2 linked regions of the Schizosaccharomyces pombe genome follow. Changing the gene in region 1 together with any one later gene gives a genetic interaction. Each region holds a gene or a part of one and is shown in the gene's direction. Other genes may lie near its edges. The genes, in order: pof7 and SPOM_SPAC15E1.02C.

The links.
Region 2: mutations in pof7 (region 1) and SPOM_SPAC15E1.02C together harm fitness less than expected from each alone (positive genetic interaction), as found in Schizosaccharomyces pombe (one large-scale study listed by BioGRID).

What each region holds. Positions count from the first base shown.
Region 1 is NC_003421.2:2,370,689-2,375,134, reverse strand, and holds pof7 (F-box protein Pof7), read left to right. Parts: upstream 1-1,797; 5' UTR 1,798-2,055; coding exon 2,056-3,141; 3' UTR 3,142-3,621; downstream 3,622-4,446. Other genes in the region: U3 associated protein Utp25, read left to right, coding at 1-1,015; SPOM_SPCC70.10 (uncharacterized protein), read right to left, coding at 3,775-4,242.
Region 2 is NC_003424.3:3,720,731-3,724,020, reverse strand, and holds SPOM_SPAC15E1.02C (uncharacterized protein), read left to right. Parts: upstream 1-2,184; 5' UTR 2,185-2,264; coding exon 2,265-2,711; 3' UTR 2,712-2,764; downstream 2,765-3,290. Other genes in the region: hal3 (thymidylate synthase), read right to left, coding at 1-188; rpl42 (60S ribosomal protein eL42), read right to left, coding at 1,002-1,022, 1,213-1,512; bud6 (actin-interacting protein 3), read right to left, coding at 3,058-3,290.

The sequences.
Region 1 (4,446 bases):
TTCCGGAAATACCGACGATATGTTTCGACTGGGTGTTAAATTTACAAGAAAAACTGTCAAGCTATTTTCCCAGTTTTACAATTCTGACATTATAGTTGCTAGTCCTTTGGGACTTCGTCTTGCTATTGGTAACAAGGGAGATAAAAAGCGAGACCTCGATTATTTGAGTTCGATTGAAATAGCAATGGTTGACCAAGCTCATGCTCTCGTGATGCAAAACTGGGAACATATTGAATGCATTTTTGATGAACTTAATGGTTTGCCTAAAGAAGCTCACGGTTGTGATTTCAGTCGTGTTCGTCCTTGGTATCTTGATCAGCAAGCCAGATATATGCGCCAAACTATACTATTTTCTCAATATAACAATCTAGATATAAATTCTTTCTTTTCTCACTACATGTCAAATATTGCTGGTAAGGTTAAATTTCGCTCGCTTCTTCACGGTGTTTTAAACCGCTTGGGGTACAAAGTGACTCAAACTTTTGTTCGCATTTCTGTCGATTCTATTATTAAAGTTCCAGATGCCCGCTTTTCCTATTTTACTGGTTCTATACTAGTACAACTAAAGAAGTATTCCCAGAGTGGTATTTTAGTTTATATACCTTCATATTTTGATTTTGTTCGTGTGAGAAATTACATGGATGAGGAGGGAATTAACTATTCTGCCATATCAGAATATTCGAGTGTATCCGATATGACTAGAGCCCGCAATCTTTTTTATCAAGGTAGAACCAATATAATGCTATATACTGAGCGCGCTCACCATTTCCGTCGATTTGACTTTAGGGGTGTAAAAGCTGTTGTGATGTATGGTCCCCCAACGAATCCTCAGTTTTATGTTGAACTTGTTAGAATGCCGATGAGAACCATCTCTGAAGGAAACCTTGACAGTGATGCAGCAAAGTGTAGAATTATGTATACAAAGTTTGATTCTATTTGCCTGGAAGGCATAGTGGGATATCAGCGTGTATCAAACATGTGTCATGGTAAACATGAAGTTTTTGAATTTCTTTAAAAGAATACGAAAAAAATTTTTTTAAAAAGGAATTAGGGGTCATTTGGATTTTTGGATGAAAGAGCTACAAAATTACTACTTTAAAACAATAGAATAGCTTAAAATGTACTTTATTTGGACCATTCCGCTTTGCTTTATTTATTGAGAGCGAATGAGTAAATAGCTACTTGAATGATTTAACTTGACAGTGCTTTTTAAATGTTTTCAATATATAATTTTTTTTATACTTATTTCAAGATTCATATAGCGATTGGAAGGCATCGTACATTATCAATGAGTTTGGTTTCGACTGTGTTCCCGAAACCATATCTAAATCTCAATTGCTTTTGACGAAGATATGCTGAGAATTATCCGAAAGCAAAGCGGGATATGTATCTACTCGTTTATTAACAATAAAAATCGCTATCATATTCACCATAAATAAATGCAGTAATGCTACATGAAGCTGGTAATTATTACAATAATTCATCAAATCGAAATGTTTTCTATATCGCTAAAATCCTAATATCCACTTAGCTTATTGCCAAGTAACTTTTGATTTGAACAAGTTTTAAGTTTATGTAATGGTTTCGCAAGTCCTAACGCCTTGTTAGAAGTGATAGAATCGAAGACACCTACAAATATGCCCATAGCCAAATAGCATCTCAAACATGTTACAATATTTATCTAGTCCATTTTTTAAACAGTAAAGAAGCGACGATTGACTCAATTTAATCTTCTTCTTCTTGTTATCAAACCGCCACAACTTGATATTAAACGCAACGGCTAACTACCCATGAACTAAACCATATTGTTACCAAAGTAAGGTCTTGTGAAAGGATGCTTTTAATCCTTAAATCCTTGTTAATACTTTGCTAGGAATTGTATGAAAAGTAAAAAACATAAAAGTCATTAGTTAGGTTCAGCACTATCTTAACCTCTTAATATTCGTGTTGAATTCTTTTTTTTTTTTTCTATTTTGAGAGAAATAAGTAAGAAAATATTTTCTTTTTCAATTATACATCTACTTTCGATTGCTCGTCTGAGAAATAAAATAAGTGATGAGTACAGTAGAGGATCAACTTTCTCTTGAACTTGAAACAGTGAACAAGGATATACTGTTGAAAAAAGCACTTTTACATTACAAAGATGCTATAAAATCTGAAAGAGAAGGAAATTTAGGTGAATCTCTTAATAAATATCGATTAGCTCATAAAGTCCATGAAGATGTGGAATCTATCTATCGGCGTTTGGAGCGTTTGCAACTGTGTAAAAGAAATGAAGAGGAGGAAATGTTAAATTCAGATGCATCAGAAGCTATGCTCACTGTTTCCTCAGTCCCATCTCCAACGTTAACGGAAAATGAGTCTGTAAATGAGTCGGTCGTTCCCAATATACTGAAGCTTCCCGACGAGGTTTTGCTAGTTATCCTAGAGAATTGCATTAGGGACCTTCATGATTTAAGATATCTCTCTTCAATTGCACTAACTTGTAAGCATTTTGCGAAGGCATTACGAGCAGATTCTCTATATAGATCGTTTTGTTATTGCAGTTGTGAACAAAAAGAATGGCAACAGTCTATTAAGTCAATAGAGGAAGAACTCGTGGAAAAATACCAGCAAAGCTGGAAGACTTTGTTCCTTAAAAAGCCTCGATCTCGTTTTGACGGATGCTACATATCCGTTTGTCGATACTTTCGACCTGGAACTAGTGACACGAGCTGGAACCAACCCATACATTTGATCACATACTACCGGTATTTACGACTTTATCCTAATTCAACATGTATCGTTTATCAAAGCAGTAATGAACCAAATGATGTTGTTCGCAACTTCAGTGTGCAAAACACCAGTCTTTTTTCTCCTATGTCGAGTTCTCCTATGTTTAGTAATGGAAACGTAGCACTCACTGGCTCCTGGTCAATGACTCCTTCTGGAGAAATGCTAATTGTGTATCCCGCAAGTCAAACTTATACATACGTTCAAAAACTTCAAGTTCGTGGAATAAGGCTTAAGTGGATTTCTTTCTACTCCATCCATAATTATACCTCATTCACGAACGAAATGCCACTCACTCACAATCGTGACTATGTTTTCTCCAGAGTATATAGCTATACTGCTGACTCAGAGTCACTAAAACGTGGCTAGTCTTACTTTTTGGAATACTAATTTAGAAACCGCGGAAATGATTAATTATCTATTATAGGTCGCATCGTGAGAGGATTTAAAGAAATTATTTTTTATTAATATTAATGCCATCATTATTCTTCGCATGGAAATATATCATTAACATACATTTACAAATGAACAACAGATGCTTAACAAATTTTTGGAAGTACAAAGTTATAAACAATCCTAAGTCCAAGGAAACATGCGTGATACTTGAGGAGAAAAGAGTAAATAGAATGCACAAAACTTAAAAAATAAAAGAGGAAAACCCACGAAATGGAATATTAAACGTATCAGTTTCTTGAAGTCCAGATCGAATATTCATAAAGAAAACCATAAAACCATTCGTAATCATGTTCGTAAAAAATCCCTGCTTTTTTACCACAAATAAATAAACTAAAGGCAACATAAAAAATCGCCATATCGAAGCATTGAATGACAAAAGTAAAACATGGAGAAATATCGGAGAGCAATAATTCAACATGAAGATTCCGTTTTAAAGTTAACAAACGGATTTATTTTGGATAATAAAATTAAAGTAAATTAGTTTCGTAAAGAGAAAAAGAGAAAGGATTAACGAAACTGTAGAAAATCGCTCATTTCTATTCAAAGCTAAACCATTTCCTCTGGAGGTCTGTAAACTGGTGGTGGTGAAGCTGGTCGTTCGTGATTTACAGCTTCGGTTGCTGCAGGGCTTGCTTCATTTTGGGGTGTATTGCTTGCAGTAGCAGCTGGACTATATGGAGGTGGGACTTCTTCAGGCAAATTTTCAGAAACGGTAGTAGTTGTATTCGGGTGTGCCATTACATGTGTATACCGAACAGAGCCACGACGAGGTGAGCCAATTGGAGATGTATATACAGTTGCAGGAACGTATGCAGACTGGGGAGATGTAGGTGAACGGCGAGGAACTGCTGTTGCGCCAGGCCTAGCGCGAGCTTCTGCCATGGGGCGTGTAGTTGCTGGTTTGGTCTGTCCAGCCCTTGCCTGTCGACGGCGAACAAAAAATCTATTGATCGCCATTCCAATAGCCGCAATTAAAGCTGCGATGACAAAACCTGCAGCGACAATGAAAAACATATTCTATTTAATGCAAAAGAAAAAATGTAAACCGAAAATCAACCTAAATCCCGTAAATAATGAAAATTTGTAATTAGGGTTGTGATGTGGAAAGGATAGATACTGTGGTGTTGTAGCGAGGCTTATTCACCATATCAAGAAACTTATCAATTTATCGCTGTTTTAAATAAAAATTACCTATTTTCTTTAAAGAAAGAATAAATT
Region 2 (3,290 bases), on another chromosome or scaffold:
ACTTGAACGTCGACGCCCTTGTATGTCAGTAGGGATTTAACGATTAATGTCAATTTTATCGCCGCAACCGAACCCGTTGCAGCGACCAAAATATGATATTTAGAATCCGTAAGTTGTCGCTCTTTCTCAAGGATCATGGGATTTTTTACAGCCCTGGTAGCAAACCTGGCATGCAAAGGTTGTGACATATTGGCCAACGAAACGAAAGTAATTGACGGGCCTTAATGTTGGTGAAGCTAGAGATTATAGATGCAGGGAGAAGGTTAGATATCGATTTATCTGGTACTGCAATTTAATGAAACTTTTATAAACTCATTGAAGCGCGTTATAATGGTCGTCCACAAAAACAAATTTAGCAATTGAACAAGCGAACCTTAGTTTTGCAAGGGAATTGTACACGTCGTACGCAGAAAAACAAAGAACGTACGTTGCTTTAGTACCAAAAAAAAGTAATTATTTATTATGCCTGCAGTGTGAAATCCAAGTGCCGTTATGCAAGGATGCACTACACTCTCACTATTAGCAATTAGTTACTTAATATATCCATAATTCGGCAAATGGCATAGTCTCCTAAACCTTAGAAGACCCGTAAGCATGGATAATTTAAAGAAAATTTTTTTGCAATACTTGAAAGCATATTTGATGCTTTAGTACTCTCGCTATTTTACGCTGTACTTGTTTGATTACTTTTATCTTAGTTAACATGCTGACAAATGTGATGGGTTATTTTCCGAAATCACAACACCTGTCTTCTACTCAAGCAGTAATACAAGTCTTGAAAAGCTCTGACTCAAACCGATGGAACTAGAAACACTCGAAAAAGATTGCTCCAATATTGAGAACAGACCTTAGCGTTAGCGAACTGCTAATTGATGACAACTCATCACTTTGTGTGCTACTCTATCGGAATCATGTCATTATTTATACAATACAAATGAAACACTACTTTGAATTGCTTTTAGGATCACCGTAAAAGAAGAAAATTGTATTTGCTAAAACACTTAGAATTGGATAGCAGCACCCTAAAATGATTGTTAGTAGATGAAATAAAGAAAATGATCGATAATAAGGATGAAACTCAACAAAAGACAATTCATAAAAGCGCTTTGCAAAATTTTTTTTCTGGATTTGAGAGGTATTCAACCACGGCAAAAACTCTTTTACAAATTCGTCTAAATCCAATCCACTCGTTATCAGCATTCTTCGACATACCTTAGTCTTCTTTTCACCACCAAGCTCGAAATGCTTGCAACGCTTCAAAACCAATTGATTCTTGTATTTGCAAGAGACGCATTCCAAACGAAGGACAACCTTCTTGGTAACCTTAGCCTTCTTGTGGAAAACGGGCTTAGTTTGACCACCAAAACCACTTTGCTTGCGGTCATAACGACGCTTACCCTGAGCAAGCTTGGAATCAGGTCCCTTCTTGTATTGGGTGACTCTGTGGACAGTGTGCTTGCGGCAGTTCTTACCAGGACAGTAAGTCTTACGGGTCTTGGGAATGTTCACCATTTTTTGATACTTTTATAAGTGATGGTTAGATGGTGGTGATTAGGAACTCGACAGCATAAAGTTTCTCTGCTAAACCCTTGTTGTACAAATGTGACTGTTTCTTATTCCTCTAGGTTAGGTTTACTTGCTGCTGTAATGTCGTTCAACGCACTGTTCGCAATAGTGTGAACAACCGATAGCTACCCTAAAAGTGTTTACTGCGTAAGATCAAGCTTGCAATATATCAAATGTGGGCCAGCAAACAAAATTTCTAAGCTACATTGTTTTAGTGCTGGAATTTCAATCCAACTTTGATTCTTCTGTGAGGGCTTTTTAATGTAAAACATGCGAAAATTATTGTAGTAAATTTCTATTTTTAATCACTAGTTGTTACCATCGCTGCACTCCAAATCTTATATTTATCGACTTCACTGATTTCTTTATGCAAGACTTGGCACAGCATCCGAACAGTATGAGATATTGCTCCACCAAAAGTTTAGGAAAATGATGTAGATATCACTATGTAAATAGCGAAATAGCGACTTAAAACAAGTCAAGTCAGGCTAAGCAGTATTTCCCAATTATCATACTTCATCGACACGTCAAAGTGACGCCCCAAATTAATCTGTACCTAAATCCATAATTGGACCTTGAGTATACTATATATTTAGTGGTAGCGCCCTTAAATCCTTTAATTACAAAACATTTATTTTACAAAATATTCACATTCATATTAATCTTGTTCTAACTCAAACTAAATATTAATACAAGAAATGCCATCCTACACTCACATGCCGTATGTACGCCCTAGTGCAATTCTCTTGGGGATTGCCTTCGACCATGCTGCTTCTTTCCTCGTTTATGGACCCCTAATGGGCGATATTTGGAAAAGGGCAATGAGCACTGCACCTCACGTCGAATATGACGCTGGAAGTAAAACCAAGAAGGTTGCTACAACTTATGTTAGCAATTTCCTTAGTACAGCAGTTCAGTCGTACTCGATCGCTGCATTGTTGCAACTTACAGGCACTGTGACACTCAAAGGTGCCTTTTTCGTGGGTCTTTATGTATTTGGTGCATCTGGATTGCCCGACGTAGTCGACTATATGTTCACAGAAAGCAGAGGTACCCCTTACATCCTTGTCAAAACTATATCTTCTCTAGTGAAATCAGTAGGCTTAAGTGTTGCCTTGATCGGTTACGGCGTACGTCGTATTTAAGATTCCGATGGTTCAATATCTGATTTTTAAAACGACAAGTTAATCAAATTTTCTTTAATATCTAAGATTTCTTTTCTGTGTTTATCTCATATTTGGTTAGACTGTAAGTGAAAATAGTATCCCAATAGTGGTATTGGACAACATCGAAGCTTCCTTTGCTTGTTATAACTGTACATATTAAGGTATGTTGTAACTCTATTCAGCAAATCCTTGATTCACAAGATTTGCATCAGTCCTAGTGTAATACAGGGTAATTTCTCTCGTAACAATTAAAGTTAAAAAAAGTAAAAAAAAAATACACAAACTGGCATACAATCATTGCCAAATCGAATAAAACTTATGCACATTAAGTTAGGCTTGTCTCTTCAACATCTTCGGCATCTTCGTAAGCGTCATAGTCATCAGTGGATATCGTATCGTGTCTTACATGATGAGTCACTTTACTCATCTGTACATTGTTATCGTACTTAAGATCAGTATTCTCAAACACTGTATCACTAGAACTTTCGACTCTGTTATCGGAGTATTTAGAAGGGGTTTGTTCATCATCTGTTTCATGAGCTGTACTACGGACGATCG